4 linked regions of the Schizosaccharomyces pombe genome follow. The gene in region 1 interacts genetically with each later gene. Each region holds a gene or a part of one and is shown in the gene's direction. Other genes may lie near its edges.

Region 1 (6,951 bases):
ATTGACTCATACTCTATATACACAATTAATTACCAGCCTATTAACTTTAGTTTTTAGCTCATCAACTTCAACATTACTAATTATTCTTTATTTAAATTTAATGTAAACGGTCGATTACTCAAACCAATTTAATACTATTCTTTGTCTATTTGCCTAAATATTTTATACATGTCACGTTTTTGATCACCACCATTCTAAACCCATACTATACTTGACTCTACAGAATGCTGTCAAAACGGGGATTAAATCCCGTTCAAGCGGAGAGCAGAAAGAAGAAAAAAAGAGAACAAATTAAAGTGCGAGAAGAAAGAGCAAAACGCCATGAAGAACGACTGTCGCATAGGAATATGAGCCAAATGGAACGCCAATTATCAGAGCTGACACAATTAGAATCTTCGCAAGCTTTAAATGCACATGACAAGCAATTATTACAAAATTTGCAAAGAGATATGGCAATTATGAAGAAGAAAAACATTCATGGACATAGAGTTGGGCGTGTTGAGTCAGACAAGACTAAGGAGGCAGAACGTCAACATAAACCTAGAAAGCCTTTTATCCCTAAAAACCCAAAACGAAGTATATATTATGATCCAATATTTAATCCTTACGGAGTTCCGCCGCCAGGAATGCCTTATCGTGAGAAGGAAGAACTAAGTTCAGAAACAGATGAATCCGTTATTGATATACCTTTACCTTCTGAAGAATATCCTTTTGAGGATCCAAAGCCAAGGGAAAAGAAAAATAAGAGCTTTAAGCCAAAGCACCACAAAAAGCAAGACATAAATGCAAGTTCAGCACAACCAAAATCCACTACTACGACAGAAGCTGCTGCAAATACGAAGGACATTGAAGAGGAAACTATGATTGAGTACTCAGCTCAGCCGGTAGTCAGAGATTTACGACAAGAAGCTGCTCAATTTTTACCTGCTGCGTTTCAACGACAAAAACTAGCCAAGGGGCAGAAAATTGGACAGCCAGACAGGGATGTATCGAGCCAAGTTCAGGAAGACAAGGATGAAGAAATAGATAATTTCTACAAAGAAATTGGCGGATATCTATAAAAAAGTCGTTAAAATTATGGAGATTGGAAGTAAGGATTACCAAATGGGTGTAGACGGAATTTTTAGTTAATAAACATGCATATTAATTTATATATAATATCTGTTTACTAGGTTCAATTTTAAAGGAGCTTGATTGCATCTCTGTACTTGTTTTTTTGTTTTATTCAATTATGAGTGAGCTTTCATAAGTTAATTCAAAGGCTTATTATTATGATGCGGTCAATAATTTCAAATTTTTGATGTCCAAAAAAAACAAAGGAGATTTTGTTTCTGTGTTATTGCATGATATTTATTAATGTTTTCTTGGTTCAATAATTCCTTATTATAGTCACTTTTACACTGCTTGAGCGAAAGGGGATTTCAAAAAAACACCTTATATTCATCTTTCCGTGATTATTTCAAGTTGACTGTTTTTTGTGAATTTGTCTTTTGCTAAATTATGATTGTTACACTTAGTCCTACACTGTTCATTACGAATCAGATTACCAAAAAGAAAGAAGTACATGACTAATTACTTGGATTAATTTTATTTTATTTTCATATGTATTTAGACGCCATGACAGTATTTACATGCGTAAACCAACGAATTCGTTTATCAAATAAAAATATCATAAAGGAAACCTTTAAAAATCGAAATACACATGCTTAAGTTAAAATTTGCACAATGAGAGATGAGGGAGTACTTATCTATCTTTTGCTTGCTTTTCTTGGGTTCATAATCTTTGGTTTTCGCTATAAATGCTGTATGAGACTAGGAAGCTTTTGCAGTCAATCATTCTATTATTTATAAAAACAAATAAGTTATTTATTGATTAAAAACTCGTGATACTTTTTTTTGCTATAAAATGATTTATTTACATATAATTACAAGGCACTCGCACGACCTCGTTATGTGCGAGGAGCCATGAAATTGAATCCATTGATATTAAAATTAGCCAAAATGCCATTTCTTAAGAATGGGTAAAGTCCTGTTAGAGCTGCATTCAGTACCATGGAATGAAGAAGGTTTGAGTGATAATGCTCGACTTTATTCATTTTTGGAGTTCGTAAGCCCGAAAATCGAGGAATTGAAGTACAGAAAGCTTTTGTTAGAGAAACTACAGACTCACATTAGGGAGGTCGTTTTGGATGCTGAACTTCAAGTATACGGTAGCATGTATATTGGAACAACATTATCTATAAGTGATGTAGACGTATCTTTGAAGTCACCTCGAGTTGGAGAATTGGAGAAACGACGCGTCACCATGGTTTTAAGAAAGTACTTGGATGCTGATGCTGATTTCCATTCTAGTGCCAGAGTCCCTCGCATCAATTTAGTAGATGTTAGTGGAATTGGGGTGGATTTGACGTTTGGAAATGACAAAGCTTGCAGAACTGCTGAATTGCAAAAAGCTTATAACGAAGAACACCCAATTTTTGGTAGATTGCTGATGCTATTGAAGCACTGGTTGTTTGAAAGAGATTTGGAAAACGTTCATCATGGCGGGATTGCAAGTTGCGCGCTCTCTTATATGCTAATTGGTTGGCTTGAAATGCGATTTCACAAAAAGGGAATTGATTCGGAAGTGCAACCAATTCGAGCTTTACTACAGAAATTCTTCTATTTTTGGGGAGTCGAATGGACATACGAACTTTTTGTATTGAGACCTTTAACCGGTCAAATAGTTCCTAAGCTACAAAAGGGCTGGTTAAACGAAGTGCAACCAAATTTGCTATCTATTGAAGATCCAATTGACAGAAATAACGACATTGGAAAGCAATCATTTCAAATTAGTATGATTAAAGCTGCATTTGTTGCTTCAGCTAATGAATTATTATCCGATAAGACATGGTTTAGCACCTTTGCAATTACGGAAGATGAAATGTTTTTGTGTAAACAGTTTGAAAATGTTATAAATACTAAACGAAGTTTGGTGGAGGGATATGATAGTGATACGGAATCAGATGAATTACAAGCTGGCGGATAACTGCGGGTTAATGCATTTAAAAAATAATGCTCGCTGTTTAAATAAACATTTGTTTTTCAATTCCTAAGTTGTCTTGCCGCATGTGGTAATGTTTCACTACAGTTCGTATGTACTTTACTCTTGTTTAATTGAATGGATTCATATTCTTATTATTGATAGGATATAAGAATCCTACAATTATCTTAGTCATTTTCAAGTCTTTTAATTTTACTTAGGCAAGGTTCGGCTGTTTCAAATGATATCACATTTTGTACCTATTGAAGGTGCTAACAAAATCTGTTCTTTAAAAATTTCAAAATTAAATCTATTTTATTCTTTTAAAATCTATCCAAGGATCCATGTTAGATTTTCAAGTCAATTTAATAATTGCATTTCACTTAGATTAATAAATGTGTGTGCAATCTATAGCTTTTTCGAAAGAAGGACGCTATCTTCTGTTTTGGAGCTCTCATCAATAATGAATCCCCGATGAATAAACCATTCGGATACATCGAGTTTAGGGCTTAATTTAATGTAAATTTCTTTGGCTTTTCCCTCAGCTGCAGTCTCGCAAGCATATTCCAACAGCTTGGTACCAATAGAACGGTTTCGATAGGCTGGCAAAACTGCCAAAGATAAAATTTGGATTTTGTGCGATTTATTATGTGTTTCTTTTTTGCATCTAACAGCTCCTACGCAGACCTGGTTAAAGTACGCATATTGTGCTAAAGGCCCGACTGAGATTGTGTCTTTGTAAAAGGAGGTTGGAAATATAATGATTTCAGGATCAAAACACTTTTCGTTAATAACTTCAAGGATTTTCAGATTATTAGGGTTAATCGCATCAAGTTCAATCATCTTTTTTATGCAAATGCAAATATCTTTTTCTATATGTACTTGGTGTTGTCAACTTTCAGTCTTTAAGGCATTCTAATGCAATAGTTTGAGTTGGAAACATCCACGATAAAATCTTTAAACAGTACGCTGCATTTCATTAATCCCGTTGTCACATGAATGTGAAGGTATTGTAGATGCTGGTCGCATAGGAGAAGCGTTAACAAGGCTGAAGACATCGTCATTTCCATCTTCCTTTGTGTCTACGTTTCCTTCTTTCTTTGTGGTAGAGGGCTCTTCAAAATTTGATTCTTGTGGGATAATCTCTTCGGTGGATAGCTTTTCACTTGCAGAAACCGCAGGATTCTCAAAGTCAATATGAAGTTGTCTTTGATATTCATCTATTAATCTTCTAAGCCAAGGGACTGTGTAGCTAATGGCTGGCCATGCTGTACCTAGCATAGTAATGAAGTTCCAAAGGCTCCACAGGGCCATAAATGAAAATACCAGCCCTTGTATAATGATAAGAATGATTGCAATGATCACTTTCGGAATGATTGCTAAATCAAATGCTATCGGTATGAGAAGAGCAAAGGAAACCACTCGGGTGAGAGCAACCAAAAAGACGCAAAAGGAATTTTTGAAACCAACAAAAGGCCGAAACACTGCTAGCAATATAAAAGAGATGATTTCAATAACAAATAGAAGTATAGTTTGAATCTTCGCAAACTGTTGTACTAACGCTAAAACCAATGCAAAACTAAAATAATGTGCAAAGCAGGCGTAAACATAGAGCCATCGCCGTTCTTTTAAATCCAAATATAACCATCCCCACCATGTGTATATTTTTGGATCGCTTATCAATGTTTCTGGATTGTCCTCGTTACTCAAGCCTGACGTTGTTATCACTCTTATGACTTTGATAGTTAACCAAAGGAAAAGCCCAAAAAGCAGTGCCAGAAGCAAAGCCGCCAATATTACAGGGCCATATGCTTCCCTAAGTGTAAACTGGTAAATTATCATAGTTACCAATACAGGCCAACAAACCAACACCTATATCAACCAGATTAGTATAAGTATAAAGCAAAAAAGTCGTTAAGAGCTATGTATGAACAACTCATTCCTTTGTTCAATTAACTTACCCATCTCATACAAGCATTAAAAAGTACTCTAAACCAATACCTTGTGATATAATCGCATGAAGATTTTGCGATTATACGTGTCTGACGAAGAAACTTAATAATAAGTACGAATATTATAACGATTCCTCCTGCTATGGCCAAAGAAATCAAAAACCATATTAAAGTGAGTGTAAATAAATTCGTTGTTAGCGTTCCAACTTCGGTGGCTAGGCCTTGAAACCCATGGTAAAATCCAGGAATCGGGCTTTGAGGGTTTGTTGCAACAGCATCTCTTCGATGGACTCCACCTATCTTTGGAGAACTTAGGTTTCCATTGGAATGCTTTCTAAAAGACTCAAGGCTGTTTTCTATCTCTTTATTGGTAATAAATCCTAGAATCCATGCAAAATTACTAGCCCATGCGACTAGCACTTTTGGCTGTGTAATTCCAATTGCTCCCGTGAAAGCTATACATTGAAGTAGCTCTCCCATGTGCTGCAAAGAAGGAACGGAATTGATGAAAACCTGACGTGTCAGATAGGTGCTATGCTCCATTCCAATTACATAAAAGCCTAAGACGCCTGCTATACTCAATGCCAAAGCAGTTCCACTTAGAGCTTTTACGACTTTATTTTTAAACGTATGACCATTATTAAGTGTCGCGATCATGCACGCAAGTGGTGTAGAATTATCGATGGATGACGCTGCGATGTCTTCTGAGCGATACATGCGAAAACGCACTAAGCCTTCAAAATCAGGAATTCCCCAGGCAATTTTTGGGATCATCTGAACATCTTGAGGGCTCACTGGAAGTATTCCCTGTGTGGTTATAGCTGTATCTCTTGCAACTGGGCACACAGTATTAAGATTTATTTCACAAGGGTCGAAAGTAAATCTTGCCCTCTGCTCTCCATAAGCTTCAACTATAATATCAAACGTAACATTTGCGTCCACAGATGAATATCCAAGAATATTAAAGACTACTGACAAGTTTCGTGTATAATAACTTGCATCAAACCGATTAAACACTATCGGGGCATTTGACATGCATTCTGCGTACTCGGCTGTTCCAAGTTTGTGATTTGGTCTCTTACTATATCTTACTCGACCTTCCACTGACGATAAGATATTACTTAAAACTGCAAAGTAAGCTAAGAGTATTAGCTTCATTTTCATTTTCCATTAACATCCCCCTTCCAGTTATGTAGAGGGTTTAACTTTGGAACGAATGCAAAAAAAATTAAAATGAACTTTCCTCAGAATTACCAAACTATCACGAATAACAAAAACATGCTACTGAACTCAAATGCCGTAATTTGACTGTAATGTTTACGAAATAGCAGTCGTATTTTTTAACAACCATAGCATTGAGTTAAATACAAGGATTAAATAAATAGTAATGAAACGATTGAAGCTTTAAGATTTTTACGAAAAAGAATACAGAACGTGGCTTCGTTTATTTAGTTACCACCATCTTAGCATTGTTCTTACGCTCACAATTTTACACTATGAAAAAAGCAATATAATGGTAAAGAATGTATCATTAGTAAAGAATAAAAAAAAGAAATGCATTTTCATTTCATTTGTAGTTGTGAGAAGAAATGATGGAATGTGCGAGCCTCACTTGATTTTATGTCATTATGTTTTGGACCTCAATTAGTAATAAAATTATTCTGTTGAAGTCATTTCTGAAGGCGTTTCTTGATTTTTCGCTTGTAATTCGTTGAGTTGCTCCATTAAAAGATTTCGAAAAGGAGTCAGCAGCTTCTCTTTAGTTCTATTTAATTTCATTCCACAATTTGGAAGTTGTGGCTGCGGTACTCCATGAGCTGTAGTGGGTGTAATAATTGCGGACCCAAAGAAGTTATAAAGATGTAAAAGCCATTCACTAGTACTATCTTTATTCTCAATAGCCTTCTTGCTTTCTTCATCAAGTTCCTTCACATAATCACCAATTTCTTCCAAAACTTGATGTTTTGTCTCTTCATC
Region 2 (5,878 bases), 850 kb from region 1:
CGAAATAACCTAAATGGTACTACATTGTAAAAACCAAGCTTTCGTTTACGTTTTACCACCGTAGAGTATATGTACCAATTCTGGGTGCTTGTTTGTAAATCTGAATTTTTTTGTAAGCTATTAGTTTTAAGGATAAATAAATATGTTTAATGCTATTCAATATTAATGGTATATCCTAGGTCAACTTCACAATACACTATACTCTAGGGTTCATCCTTCATAGAATATTACTCTCTTCGCTATATCTTAGAACTGATATATGCACTAATTTTTTAACTCGCATTAGACGAGTCCTTTCTAAGGAGCTAGCTTAATGATTATGTACATAAAATCTTCATTTTAACATCATTCAAAGTATTCTATTTAGTCGCTCGACTTTTCGACTTCTTTAGTCTCCTGTAACTTTCTCAAAATTTGTCATTAATCAACCATCAGCCAAGGTCTGATTGATTTGGTCTTTTTTTGTTAAGTAATTAATTTTGGAAGTGCTTACACTGAAGACGTCTATATGCTCAAAAGTCGCTGTTAGTTTGTTGCCTTTGCGTGAACTTGCTTTGTTAATTTCAATACCATATTGACTTGTTTTTCGATCAGTATTCAACTGTTTTTATTTTAATCCTGATAATCTTGATTTAAATCAAATTTACTTCCTAAATGGATATTTACGAACATAAAAAATCATTCATGGAACGACAGATACGGCTGTTGAACCGACCTATGCGCCCTCCAAAGGATTGGAAACTTCCTTTAAAATCCGGTCAGCTTTCAGAATCAGTCGTTGAAACTGTATTCCAACGTACGTGTTCCATGCTTTTGTCTGGATTTCTCCTACAAATAAAAAGTTCAAAATATTATTATTAACCAAAACAGGATTGCAACTTCGTATCCAAAAGCATGCAAAGCTAAATTATTCACATCAAGCAACTCAGCATGTTGCCGCTCAAATACGAAAGTTATATGAACAAAATAGCGCTATTGAGGACATTACCTTTTTAAATCCATTATTTTATGGAGAAATTGATTTAAGCAATTTAGACAGTGTAAAATCACTTCCCCATCCATGGCCTTTTCAAAAAGAATCCCGACCTGTCGAAAAGGATGAGGAGCAAGAGAAGTTCAATCGTCTTACGGGAGAGTTACTTGGTCTATTAACAACGTTGTCAGAATTAGAACAGGAGCGCTCTGAACTTGAGCAAATCGAAAAAATGTTGGAACCTTTTGAAGATGGGCCTTCTTCAATACATACGAATATGTGGAAGAAAAACCCTGAATTGATATCAACCCTCAACAGTACGAACACCATGGTAGCTAAAATTAATTCTCTTCTCAGAGGGGTTTCATTTCCTTCTTTAAACAATGACAATCAGGAAGCGTCATTGGAGGACGAAATCAGAAGCCAATTATTCGAAAAAACTATTTCTGATGATTAAAAAACTTTTCGTAGAAATTGAGAGGGAATGATGTTCATGAACTCCTATTGCATCTCATCATCTGCTTTTGAAATAATGACTAATACTTAATTGGAGGAGAGGGTGCCTTATTTCCTGGTTTAAGGATTTTATTGACTCTACTAGAAATGTTGGGGCTATAGAAATAACTTTGAAGCTTCTACTTTACGTTCAGATATTTATTGGTTAATGATTTCCTAGCTTTGGGAGGCATTAAGTTAGTTGATAAGACAACACATTTTTATTTACAAATGAGTGTCCGCTAAACAAAATACGTTTCTTAACAATTGTCTTAGTTTTATTTTTTAGTTTACAGTGTTTCTAACCTTTAATGAATCATTACAGCTTATAATTCAAATACTCAGCTCTCGATTGTAAGTACGTTAACATTAATTTTATCACAATTATAATACCTACATACAAGGAACTATAGATTTAATTATTTTTCTTTTCTTCTGATAATTCATAAAGCTTTATATTCCTAATGAATTCATATTACTTCACTTATATTCTGAAGCTGCATATAGCATGTACCATCTGTAAGCTCGATGAAATGAGTGATGGGTAAAGTATCTGCAAACAATCAATCTGGTAAGTCAATGTGTATCATTCTTTTGCTAATATTAGGATTTTTTAAATTTTATATCGATACAGCGTTGCTTTTAAATGCTGAATTTATATCCTCCTTCACAAATTGTATAAAGTATGGTTTTGCGCAAATGGACTATTACTGATGATATAGTTCTGAATATAATGGAAAAGTAAAAATTTCTTACTCTTCTTCATCTCAGGTATTTTATATATCCTAGCTATTGACGCTAATAATTCAGCAATTCAAAGTCATAGTGTACGAGGAACACAAAAGAGAAGCGTTTAGTCTGTAAGTTCCATGCGTTCATCCTAAATATTATTTTAAATATTAATTAACATGCTAGTTTTGAGGAAATAGTTCAAAAGTTGAAGCGCGAATCAACTGTTTACAAGAAACCACGCCTAGATATTCATCCATTCGGGCAATTGCATTATGATTTTACTACTTTATTGAATTTTCAAAGGTACTTAGACTTAGGATACGGTATTGAAGATGTGAAAATAAAAGAAAATGAGGACATTGTTAAGTCTAAAGTGGGCAAGAAACCGACATCCTCCGATTTTTATATTCCTTGCTTGATAAAACCTAAAATCATTACTCCTTTTGAATGGGAAGGAAATTTTAAACAGGTCATTTATTCGCCTACTGTTTACAACGGGAGTTTCAAGCGATTATTTTACCTTCCCGACAATAATGATTTGCTCAAGGAGTTTGCGCATGCTACCAACACAAAATACAAGGCTTCTTTAAAAGATAATGTATGTATTTGTGAAGATACTTCTACCATCCTAACTTTTGACTAGAAAATAGTTGTATTAGCCAATAACGATCAGGACATTAATGCTATGTTGGAGAAAATGAAGCATATAGAGAATTTAGTGTCCCAGAAAGTCTATGAATATCCTGAAGAAACTCTTGTTTATGCAGGAAAGATTGCACCCTGCCAACTGAAATTTCTAAAATTAAAATTTGAAAACGAGATTTTATACACAGCTATGCATACGACATCTATTTTCAAAAGCGTTTTCAATATCCTTGGATCTTTTTATACTATGAGATTATTGAGAAATAAACATGATGGTGATTCTTATGAGTTGGTACCAGTTTTTGCTAAAAATCCTTCCAAAACCCCTCCCTGTAATGATAATTTTAAAATATTTTCTGATGATATAAAGCTGATAGGATGTAAAATATTTGCAGGTGTTTCTTTAAACTTCTCTTCTCCGAAACCAGCGCACAGATTTTACGAGTTAAATAAAACTTCATCCAATTTGTCGATCCCAGTCTTACAAAAGCCGTCAAATTTTCATTCTTCGTCAACCGAATTATCTGATAATTCAATTCATCAAGGAAGGAGAGCAGTTGATCCTGTTGTTAACCAGAATAATCCGTCAAATTTTGAAGAAATGATTATGAACAAGTTGAATAAATTACCCACGATTGATAAGCAAATTTTAGGAACTTCATCTTTGACCCATTTCCAAGATAAAACAACTGCAATTGAGCATTCAATTAATAAGTCTAATAGCAAGCAGCCTCCTCGGTTCAAATTTCAGCTTCCTCCTCGACCTACGAGCAATACTTTACCATTGGAACCTGAAGAAGAGCTGGTTACTAGATATTCTGTTTCTTCGGATGGTAATACTGTTGACGAAGCAATAACTAAACAGTCTCAGACTTTTCAATTGGTCAATTCAAATGAATTTAATGAAGTTAACGCTAATGATGTTCATAAATCTTTGCGACAAAATTGCGCAAAATTGGATTTCGACGATTCAAAGTCTAAAAACCTATTAAGTGTAGAATGTTTAGAGCTTGACAAAGGATCAGATTGTTCCACTCCAAAATCTGGCAGCTTAACTCCTTCAATTGACATGAAGTTTTTACGTTTACAAGATGAGAAAATGGACGACCTTGGTGACAACTATTATACAATTCTAATGTCTTCCAATCCGGTATCAAGCTACGGTGTGGGAAGCTTATACTTATTTCAACCAAAAATAGTATGCTCTGAAAAATACATTAATCACGAAGAGATTGACAACATGAATTTGAAATCATTGCACAGATGGTTATCTAGAAGGTCTGTGGTATTGACTAAATATGTAAACATAAGTCTAACACTTTGTTTAGCTTGCATGTACTTCAATCCTTTTCAGGTGAAATTGAATTGAATTTAGAGTATGCGTTTATTTTTGAATAAATATTAATCCAACAGGTTTGGCGTCATACTATATCCAAATATCTCATCAGATGTGTCGGCTTGTTCACATGGTTTTATGAATATATATAAGGATTTGAATCTTCCCCGATCATATTTTGCAGACTGGTAGGTTGAGTCTTCATATGTTATATTAACCTTTTTATAAAGCATTACCAAATCAGTTTCGAATATCGATTCATTATTGAATACTCCTGTGAAAATTTTGTTTGGACGTACTGAGTATACTTATCCTTTAATAGAGCATGAAGTATTAGATTCAAAGAATTACTTTGTTTTCAAGGGAAGTTTATTATTTACAGATGATAAGAGAAACAAGACAGAGGATTCCACTGTATTTTTTTCGATGATTTGTTCTTCAAAGTTAGATCAGTTTGCGTTTTATAAAGATTCTAAGCAATCTTCTACTTGCACTATCAATTTTCCTTTAGCGTATGTTATGAATGTTTTTAAGGAAAAAAACAACTAATCATGACTTATAGCTTATGGGATTCCCGTCTACGTATCGAAACGAAAGTCCCTTTAAATGATGCGATACTTACAGAGTTCTCCAAAAGTATTAGATTTAGGTATGTCAATTTCTGAAAGCTTCGACTAATCAGTTGACTAGAAACGTAAATAAGGATTTACTGTTAGTCTTTGGAAATATGGAAGACAGAGTAATAATTCATTCGGTCACAAGAATTAATGAAAACTCTGTACCTTTTAACAAAAATTTACTCCCTCACTCTCTAGAATTTATATTAAAATGTTCAAAAGTTAAGAGCTATGACATTAGCCCGTCATCTATTAATTCCAAAGAAGCCTTCGTTTGTCTCGACAGATCCAAGGAAAGCAAACCTATAGAATCCTGTTTCAGTCTAAGTATACAAAGTGTGTACATGCAGTCTCAGTTCAAATATAATAACAGTATACGCGCAGGAGAAACGGCTCCGTGGAAACTTGCAAATAAACAATTCATTGGTGGGGCTATTACTGAGAATGTTTCAGACTTGTATACTGCAGCAATTATTATGGTGAATCAATTAGGGGGGATACACCCTACTATTTAATTAATTTTATTTATGCGTTAATATCAATTTTGTTTATACCACTTAACATAAATAACCCCTCAAACCAAATTCTTAAATTAAAACAATGCGAGGACCCATTTAAAACGAAACATATAGAGTCAGTTTCATTTACCCGGGTTCTCCAATGCATCCAATTCCACTGCACGCTCGCGCAATTTATCGTATCCTTTCAATACACCTCTCCATTCGGAATCTGTTCCATAATTGATATTTATCAACTCTATGTCCCTATTTATTTTTCTTAAAACTTGAGATATTTTCTTCCTATGATTGTTGGGTTCATCAGCTACACTGAAAACTTGTTCAGTAAACAATCCAAGCATCGATAAAACCGTTCTACAAACTTTTGAAGCAGACGGAGAGTTGGATCCATCTTTAACAACTGGGCAAGCGTCAGACCACGAGTTTCTAATGAATTCTATAATTCCAGGTATTAAAGGATATATTGTCTGCCAACGGAAAGTAGGGTTATCGACAAGATCGTGTTTATTTGGATTGAATAGCGACAAATATGCAAATGAACAAGGAGATCTAAACGCCTCGT
Region 3 (5,045 bases), on another chromosome or scaffold:
CTTTCTGTTTAATTCAGAAGCTCTCCAATGTCAAGAAACCCAATGCGCCTTTAAGTGTGAATAGCTACAGCAATCAGCAAGTCAAAGCAAAACGCATTCTTGTCTTTAAAAGAATTTATTTTAATCAATATAACAGTTGAGTTTGGGAATAATTCTAGAGAATGAAGATGTTGTTAGCAATCCTCTTTTCCTAAAACACCCTAACCTACTCCATTTCGTTGAAAAAATAAACCACTTCCCCAATTCTATGATTTTGGGATTTTTTTTGGGACTATATTAGAGAATTTCTTGTTTTATATATATCAACAGGAGCTCATTAACGTCAACACTTGAAAACAAAAAGTATTTGTCAATTATAATTATCACGAGGTTCATTATTGATTTTTCCCGAATAAGATTATCTCCAACCAAGAAAACGGAATCTTTGAATCTAAAAAAACACATTCTTTACGTTTCTTAACATTCCTCGGCATAAATTGTTCTCTTTTGAAAAAATCGTTAGCAAAAGAGTTGCTGAATCGCAAACAAGCTACGAAAATTGCATTATCTTAAAAGAAATTGTGTAAATAACAATTTATAAAGTATTTCGGGACTTTATGAGGCCGACACATTGGTCGAGTAATCAGTGCGAAGTGGATTTTACAGCTGAAGCTCTCACAACCCTTTCTTTGTCAAACCGGAATCATGAGGAAGATCCAATTCAACCTGTGTTAAAAAATTCCAATTTATTTCTCTTGAACAGAGACATATGGTCCTTGATCATTAATTATCTTGATGCATTCGATATATTACGCCTGATGCATTCAAGTAGGCAGTTTTACTATTGGCTTCGTAAATCAGCTGTCGATGAATGCTGTTTTAATAACAATTTTCTTAATTTACAACCTTATCAACGTACAGTTCCTGTTGCCAGTGATTTAGAATGGGCTACTGAAGTTGATCTCTACGGAAACCCACCAATTTTAAAACTCCAACTTCGCGATTCATTTGTCTGGTCAATGCTTGCCAAATTCCAGGGACTTCAGACCATTGCTTTAGACGGAACAGGTGTTACCATTTCTAGTGTAACGAATATCTTGCTGAACATTCCTACCGTTAAAACCTTGAGTATAAGATGGTGTGTTGGTGTTTGCTCTCTATCTCTCATTGAGTTTCTACAAAATTCTAAAAGCAGGACATTTTCATTGGAAAATCTATACGTCCTTGGTGTTAAAGGATTAGAATTACTAAAACCTGTTTTGCTTGATGGCTCTGAGGATGACACATTAACAAGCAATTGGCATAGTCGAGTAATTTTATTTCAAAATGCTTTAGACGCTTTACCAACTACTCATGGTAACCCAGTCGAATGCGATATTTCACGTTGCCCTTTGAATGCATGCAAAATTGCAGGTCAGGAAACTGAGCTTGCCGATCTTTTTTCTTTGCAAAAAGTCCCTGCTTGTATCTATTGCTTAAGGGAATGGAAGAAGCCGATTTGTCGTTATTGCATAGATTTAAGAAGTTGTTTGGTTTGCGATTCATTTGTCTGTCCTTCCTGCATATCGTTGGATTTTGATTTGCAAATACAAGCATTTGCTCGTCAACACCGTGTAATATCTACTTTAGGTGTTGTTTATCCTGAAAGAGAAGACTCTTGTTTCCATAAGATCAAGGCCGCCCAATGGCATCAGATCAGTCCTAGAAGTCTTTTGTTCCAATTCCAAGAGCAGAACCATATTCACCACAAAAAGATTCGCAGGAAGCTGTTAGCGGCTGGATGGAAATGGCCTCAATCACAGATATAGTAAGGGCAAGGCGACCTAGGTGAAAAAACTTTTTACTTTCACAACTCTTCTTTTTCTTTCATGACTAGTCTAATAATGATCTTATGCCATTCTTACTCAGAATTTTCGTTTTCATAACCATGCGAAACTCGTAAAATAATGATATACACTGAAGTAGCTAGCATTGCGTTAGAGGGTGATCTTTGTAGTAACATAACATTTTGAAATGTGCACACTAATGGTTGCTCTGCTGTTCGTCTTTTCTAGCTATTCTTATAACGAAGTAAAAATTTATTGATTAACGCTTAACAAACAGTTGGAAATTCGGTTTGGAATGCTCGTTTTTTAGTAACTGTGTTTATGTCTAAGCGCAATCCTCCTGTGACTAATATCGCGGACTTGGTGTCAGATTCTTCCTTAGATGAAGACTCGCTTTCTTTTCTCGAAGAGCTTCAGGATCCAGAATTATACTTCAAAAATGACACTTTCTCTTCCAAGAGTAGCCATTCTGATGGCACCGTTACTGGGGATACGTTGCGTAGGCAGTCAAGCGGTGCAACTGCTTTAGAGAGATTGGTCTCACATCCTCGTACTAAAAATTTTGATTTGCAAGGAAATGGAGGACAAAATTCTGCTTTGAAGGAAGTGAATACTCCAGCATATCAGTCAATGCACCATTTCGAGCATTTAATAACACCCTTGCCCTCTACTAATGCGTCTCACAGTGAAGTTTCACTCAGTGCAGGAGTGAATGATCTCAATTCTAATTCGGAGCATGATTTGTTACCTAAAAGTGTAAACAAAACCCCCGGTTCTTTATCAATTTCAAGACGACGAAGAATCGGCAGAATTGGATTAGGCCCTCCAAAGCGTGCTGAGTACACGTTGACGGATCCCTCGAAGACTTCCGATACCAAAAACTCTACAGAAGCAGATGAGGATATTGAAATGAAATCTCGAGAAGTATCACCAGCTTCCAACTCTGTTGCTGCAACAACTTTAAAACCTCTGCAGCTGCATAACACTCCTTTGCAAACATCCCAGGAGCATCCCAAACCTTCTTTTCATCCTTCTCAGTTTGAGAGCTCTTTTTCTCCTAGGGTGCAGTTTGATCACGATGTTGAAAGAAGAGCTAGTGAACTTCATTCTCGTCCAGTCACCGTTTTCCAAGAGCCTCAGCGTTCTGCTTCTCAACCATATGAATCTCATGCTCTTTCTCCAAAGGTGGCTCCGTTATTTGATAACAGTCAAGCTACTCCCATACCCAAGCGTCAGCAGGACGTTGTTACTGTTGCCAATCTACAATTTATCAAATTAGGAGTTGTTGGAAAGGGTGGAAGTAGTATGGTATATCGCATATTTTCCCCCGATAACAGTCGTTTATACGCTTTGAAAGAGGTGAACTTTATTAATGCAGACCAAACTACTATACAAGGATACAAGAACGAAATTGCATTATTAAGAAAGCTTTCAGGCAATGATCGCATAATTAAATTATATGCTGCCGAAGTTAATGATACTTTAGGGCAACTCAATATGGTGATGGAATGCGGAGAAACGGATTTAGCAAACCTTTTAATGAAAAACATGAAGAAACCCATTAATCTTAATTTCATCAGAATGTATTGGGAGCAAATGCTAGAGGCGGTCCAGGTAGTTCATGATCAAAATATAGTGCATTCGGATTTGAAGCCGGCCAATTTCCTGCTTGTAGAAGGGAATTTGAAGCTGATTGATTTTGGCATTGCCAAAGCAATTGGTAATGACACCACTAATATCCATCGTGATTCCCACATCGGTACTATTAATTATATGGCACCTGAAGCTTTGACAGACATGAATGCTCACACAAACTCTGGCGTGAAACTCGTAAAGTTGGGCAGGCCCAGCGACGTGTGGAGTTTGGGATGTATATTATATCAGATGGTGTATGGGAGGGCCCCGTTTGCTCATCTAAAAATGATCCAAGCTATAGCAGCTATCCCTAATGAACAATATCACATTCATTTCCCCGAAGTTGCCTTACCTGCTAATGCTGTCCAGGAGAAAGAGGGATCGTTGCCAGGTGTAACTGTCGGGCCTGATCTAATGGATGTTATGAAAAGATGCCTGGAAAGGGATCAACGGAAGAGACTTACAATACCGGAATTGCTGGTTCATCCCTTTTTAAACCCTTTGCCATCCTATTTGACACCTTTGGCCAAAAAGCCGTTACCTGTTTCTGGGCACACCAATAATGCTCATCCACTTAGACTCAGCACAGAAATCTCAGCTTCTCAATTATCAATGATTATAGAAAGGTCGGTGGAGTTGAGTAAGCACAAGCGATTAAATAAGGAACTTATTGATAGCATGGCTTATGATTGCGTTAGCAATTTACGAAAAATGCCAGAATAGAGGCACTAAATTTTCCGATTATTCTTAAAAAGGTTTTATCTTTTACAAAGTTTCCCAAACATCATACGAGTTTCTTAATGTTAACGACTTTTTTAGGGAGCTTAAAGGCTTTTTTTTTTTAATCTTTAATTTTTCGCTCTTTTAAAAGAAGGTAATTATGACCTTGATTAATGAACCACATATTATATGGCCCCTGATATCTATACTTTGATACTATGTAAATATAAAGAACGCTATACTCCCAAACGCTATAAGTTGTTTGTTTACGATATAATACCTTTTTGTGTTTGTTTTTTTTAGGTAAAGCAACCAAATGAATGATGCTTTTTTATAAGAAACTTTTTTAATATAATTGGGTTATATTAGACATTAAAAAAAAACCCCATAACTAATGTAAAACAAAAACCTTTAAAAATAATGTACCGCCGGTAGAGATGATTATTAACGCCATAAATGTTGGTGCAGGAAGGGAATAAAACAGGTTCAATGGAATATCGATAATCCTAAAAAAACTTGTGAAAAAATCTAAGTTAAATCTAATCACTATCCAAAAATTTATTGGCAGAAGCACCCAGATACAGGCGTAGAGTGTTAGGGGAGCAATTTACCAATTTGCAGCGAACCTTTTTGCGCCCTGCTTCATCGTGAGCACGTAGTCGATGACAGCCCCCAAAGGCAAAATAATAAGGCTTCCCACTCTTTTTAAACGTTAAAACATCAACAGGAGGAAGCTCACCAGCTTCCAAATCTTCTGAAGTCAAACCGCATGAAGCTGGAGGAGTTTTCCCTGTCATGGTTTCCATCATACTATTGACTTTGTTCATATCTAAAACAGGAGGTATAGGACGAATTAACTCAGACATATCAAGCTCAACAATGTTG
Region 4 (4,089 bases), on another chromosome or scaffold:
GGCATATGATAAGGAGTTCAAAAAAGTTGTTGAAGCGTCAGATGTGATTCTTTACGTTCTTGACGCTCGTGATCCTGAAGGGACTCGTTCAAAAGACGTTGAACGTCAAGTTTTAGCATCTTCTGCTGAAGAAAAGCGTCTTATTTTCGTTATCAACAAAATTGACTTAGTACCATCAGAAGTACTCAACAAGTGGGTTACCTATCTCCGCAATTTCTTTCCTACGATTCCTATGCGTTCCGCTTCAGGATCTGGAAACTCAAATTTAAAGCACCAGTCGGCTTCTGCTAGTTCCACTATCTCCAATCTTCTTAAATCACTCAAGTCTTACTCAGCCAAGAAGAAGCTTAAAAGCTCTCTTACAGTCGGTGTAATTGGATACCCCAACGTTGGTAAATCATCTGTTATTAACGCTCTTGTCAACCGTTCTGCGAATGGTCGTTCTGCACCTTGTCCTGCCGGAAACGTTGCCGGAATGACTACTTCTTTGCGAGAGGTGAAGCTAGATAACAAATTACGTTTGGTCGATAGTCCTGGTATTGTTTTTCCTTCTAGTGATTCTAAAGACGATTTGTATCGTCTTGTAATGCTTAATGCTGTTTCATCCACCAAAGTTGATGATCCCGTTGCCGTTGCTTCTTACATTTTGCAATTCCTTAGCAGAGTTCCAGGACAATTGGAAAGAATGTTTCAAAGATATGAGCTTCCTCCTCTATTGAATACATCCGATATAGACACTGCTACTGATTTTTTAGTCAATATTGCTCGTAAGCGTGGTCGTCTAGGTCGCGGTGGAATTCCAAATCTTAACGCTGCTGCCAATATTGTCATTAATGACTGGCATGCTGGTCGTATCGAATGGTGGGCCGAGCCTGAGGTTATAAACGAAAAGAACTCATCTGAAGTTCAGGATACTCAAATCGTTACTGAGTGGGCCAAAGAATTTGACCTTAATGATTTTTGAGAGTTTTCAACTTACGAAAAAAGCTATTGTTGCTTAGAGCTTATATTTTGGGATTTGGTTTTCGGTTGCGGTTTTTCTTCGGGTTTTAAAAATCTTTAGGTGTTGATGGTTACTAGCTATTACTTTTTGAATTAATATATAAATAATTTTTTTTGCATATATGCCGTATTCTTGAATGTGTTGTTTTACATTTACTTGTAAAAGTAATGTTTGATATGGGAGAAGTTTTAAGTAATAGGTTCGCTAATACGGGAAATTATTAAATCAATGCATGCTGGCTTAAATAAAGTCAATTGAATATGTACGGAAAATGACATTGATACTAACGTGCAGTTATAAGTTTCATTTCATTTTTATATCAATTGATAGGATAAACACAAACAATTCTAACCATACTATTTTGCGCTACTACTGAATATGGCATAATATCAAATTAATCTGTTTAGCAGTTAATAATTATGTATATAAACTAAAGAATAAATAAAGTTACATACATTACCAAAGAAAAGAAAAAAAGCTTGTATATAAAAGAAGTAAACTATTTAATAAGCAATGATTTAAGACTTGATTCTTTTCAATTAACAATCGGCTAATAAATACACAAAAATTTTTTTTAAAAGCCTACTAGTAAATAACTGCAATAAACTGTGTTTTTAGAATTTCTGAAACGTATAAAAACGATTTGGTACTTTTGGTATTCTCAATCCGTTCCTCCTAACGAAACTCACCTACCACCAAACTGATCATCAAAACAAACCACCATAAATTAGTCTAGATGCGTGAGATTGTACGAGCTATTTTAATATTCAAAGCTAATCAATAGGTTCATATTCAAGCTGGTCAATGCGGAAACCAAGTCGGTGCGGCCTTTTGGTAAGCAAAATCTACTTTGTTATAACGTTTCTCTCAACTAACGCTTGGAAGGTCTACCATTGCTGATGAGCATGGTTTGGATTCAGCTGGAATGTAGGTCTATTTTGCTTGTTTTTTTACTGACTTTTACGTAGATATCATGGAACTTCTGAGGCACAACACGAGCGATTGAACGTTTATTTTAACGAGGTAGGTTTTTTTGCTTTCTTACAAGTGTTCGGTTGCTTAAAACTTTTTGAAAAAATTTTTTTTTGTTTATTTAGTACTGACGACTGTAGGCCGCTGGTGGAAAGTATGTTCCCCGCGCAGTCCTTGTTGATTTAGAGCCCGGTACTATGGATGCCGTGAAGTCAGGAAAGTTTGGAAATCTTTTCCGCCCGGACAATATTATTTATGGACAATCTGGTGCCGGAAATATTTGGGCTAAAGGCCATTACACTGAAGGTGCTGAATTGGCCGATGCTGTTTTGGACGTTGTTCGCCGTGAAGCTGAAGCATGTGATGCTTTACAAGGTTTCCAATTAACTCACTCTTTGGGTGGTGGTACTGGATCTGGTATGGGTACTCTTTTACTTTCGAAGATTCGCGAGGAATATCCGGACCGTATGATGGCTACCTTCTCCGTTGCTCCTGCTCCTAAAAGCTCTGATACCGTTGTGGAACCTTACAATGCTACTCTTTCTATGCATCAATTGGTAGAGAACTCTGACGAAACATTTTGCATTGATAATGAGGCTCTTTCTTCAATTTTCGCTAACACGTTGAAAATCAAGAGTCCTTCATACGATGACTTGAACCATCTTGTCTCTGCTGTAATGGCTGGTGTAACCACATCTTTCCGATTCCCTGGTGAATTGAACTCTGACTTGCGTAAATTAGCTGTTAATATGGTTCCCTTCCCTCGTTTACACTTTTTCATGGTAGGATTTGCTCCTCTTGCCGCCATCGGTTCAAGCTCATTTCAAGCTGTTTCTGTGCCCGAGCTTACTCAACAAATGTTTGATGCTAATAATATGATGGTCGCCGCTGATCCTCGCCATGGCCGTTACTTAACAGTTGCCGCTCTTTTCCGTGGTAAAGTCTCAATGAAAGAAGTCGACGAGCAAATTCGCTCTGTTCAAACTAAGAATTCAGCATATTTCGTTGAGTGGATTCCCGATAATGGTATGTTTACTTGGTTTAAAACGTCGTTTGTATATTTAGTTTATTTTTTCTACTTGTTTATGCTCATCTGCTAACCTCGAAATAGTCCTCAAAGCTGTTTGTTCCGTTCCTCCTAAGGATCTCAAGATGTCTGCAACTTTTATTGGTAACAGTACTTCTATCCAAGAAATTTTCCGTCGTTTGGGTGATCAGTTTTCTGCAATGTTTAGAAGAAAAGCCTTTTTGCATTGGTATACTGGTGAAGGCATGGACGAAATGGAGTTTACTGAGGCTGAATCTAATATGAATGACTTGGTTAGCGAATATCAACAATACCAGGAGGCTGGTATCGATGAGGGTGATGAAGATTATGAAATTGAAGAAGAGAAGGAGCCTCTCGAGTATTAAACCCTTATAACCCTTTTTATAATCCAAGTGTGCCATATATTTTCAAATAGTGTTTATCTACGTTCCTTTTTTCCTACATTCATTGAAATGCTTTATTTTACTCCGATGCATATGGATTCCAAGCATCGTCTGTGCTAAACGCTCTTTACTTTTTTTCATAGCTTTGAAATGCTCCTTACACTCTAAATATAGCTTTAGCCTGGCTACCAAGGTGGAAATGTACTATAAACACGAGTAAGTCTGTAAAGTACTTTTGTAAGTCCAAACCGTACGAATTAAAGCTATTTACTATTCCCTAATATATGCTTAGATATTTGACTATTACAAAGTAAATGTATAAAGCAAGTCTAATACTTAAGTGTCAATTCCCAAAAGTAGAACCAAAAGATGCAGTGAGATTTGTAAATTCAATAAACTATTAATTTAGTTAAATTATCACCTACTGCTACGTATCGTATTTATGTTGCGTTTTGTGAAAGTAAACTCGTTTGATATACCAGTACTTATAAACGTCCACCAGTATAACAATCCGCCACTTTCTAAATTCGCCTTTGTCAACGACGAGAAATATTGAGTGGCTTCGAAAAGCCGAAATTGAAATTTACTCATATAAAAGTATATTAGGAACTTTATTTACTACATTGCAATCGCACCAAAACAATGTTTAATCGTAATTTACGTGCTGTCATTCTTAAAAATTA

The links.
Region 2: mutations in cid12 (region 1) and ers1 together harm fitness less than expected from each alone (positive genetic interaction), as found in Schizosaccharomyces pombe (2 studies listed by BioGRID).
Region 3: mutations in cid12 (region 1) and mph1 together harm fitness more than expected from each alone (negative genetic interaction), as found in Schizosaccharomyces pombe (2 studies listed by BioGRID).
Region 4: mutations in cid12 (region 1) and nda3 are lethal when combined (synthetic lethality), as found in Schizosaccharomyces pombe (2 studies listed by BioGRID, with this or other methods).

The regions. Positions count from the first base shown.
Region 1 is NC_003421.2:1,653,652-1,660,602, forward strand, and holds cid12 (poly(A) polymerase Cid12), read left to right. Parts: upstream 1-1,994; 5' UTR 1,995-2,017; coding exon 2,018-3,028; 3' UTR 3,029-3,430; coding exon of another isoform or gene 3,431-3,865; 3' UTR 3,866-3,979; coding exon of another isoform or gene 3,980-4,894; 3' UTR 4,895-4,983; coding exon of another isoform or gene 4,984-6,132; 3' UTR 6,133-6,429; downstream 6,430-6,951. Other genes in the region: splicing-associated factor Saf1, read left to right, coding at 225-1,061; NatA N-acetyltransferase subunit Naa50, read right to left, coding at 3,431-3,865; trp663 (TRP-like ion channel protein), read right to left, coding at 3,980-4,894, 4,984-6,132; SPOM_SPCC663.15C (uncharacterized protein), read right to left, coding at 6,631-6,951. UniProt on the Schizosaccharomyces pombe protein: Has a role in the RNA interference (RNAi) pathway which is important for heterochromatin formation and accurate chromosome segregation.
Region 2 is NC_003421.2:799,189-805,066, forward strand, and holds ers1 (RNA-silencing factor Ers1), read left to right. Parts: upstream 1-1,969; 5' UTR 1,970-2,008; coding exon 2,009-2,039; exon of another isoform or gene 2,040-2,075; coding exon 2,076-2,151; exon of another isoform or gene 2,152-2,190; coding exon 2,191-2,239; exon of another isoform or gene 2,240-2,278; coding exon 2,279-2,328; exon of another isoform or gene 2,329-2,351; intron 2,352-2,383; coding exon 2,384-2,798; intron 2,799-2,843; coding exon 2,844-4,123; intron 4,124-4,172; exon of another isoform or gene 4,173-4,173; coding exon 4,174-4,221; exon of another isoform or gene 4,222-4,258; coding exon 4,259-4,369; exon of another isoform or gene 4,370-4,411; coding exon 4,412-4,693; intron 4,694-4,743; coding exon 4,744-4,830; intron 4,831-4,871; coding exon 4,872-5,313; 3' UTR 5,314-5,355; downstream 5,356-5,878. Other genes in the region: protein Fta4, read left to right, coding at 655-796, 871-1,430; rRNA processing protein Ipi1, read right to left, coding at 5,439-5,878. UniProt on the Schizosaccharomyces pombe protein: Involved in RNAi-dependent heterochromatin formation and centromeric silencing.
Region 3 is NC_003423.3:371,763-376,807, forward strand, and holds mph1 (dual-specificity protein kinase Mph1), read left to right. Parts: upstream 1-2,031; 5' UTR 2,032-2,126; coding exon 2,127-4,163; 3' UTR 4,164-4,530; downstream 4,531-5,045. Other genes in the region: F-box protein Pof13, read left to right, coding at 597-1,787; srx1 (sulfiredoxin), read right to left, coding at 4,700-5,045. UniProt on the Schizosaccharomyces pombe protein: Involved in mitotic spindle assembly checkpoint signaling, a process that delays anaphase until chromosomes are bioriented on the spindle, and in the repair of incorrect mitotic kinetochore-spindle microtubule attachments.
Region 4 is NC_003423.3:3,963,575-3,967,663, reverse strand, and holds nda3 (tubulin beta Nda3), read left to right. Parts: upstream 1-1,690; 5' UTR 1,691-1,739; coding exon 1,740-1,751; intron 1,752-1,787; coding exon 1,788-1,837; intron 1,838-1,888; coding exon 1,889-1,930; intron 1,931-1,971; coding exon 1,972-2,026; intron 2,027-2,115; coding exon 2,116-3,001; intron 3,002-3,086; coding exon 3,087-3,388; 3' UTR 3,389-3,572; downstream 3,573-4,089. Other genes in the region: GTPase Grn1, read left to right, coding at 1-964; protein Sdh8, read left to right, coding at 4,049-4,089. UniProt on the Schizosaccharomyces pombe protein: Tubulin is the major constituent of microtubules, a cylinder consisting of laterally associated linear protofilaments composed of alpha- and beta-tubulin heterodimers.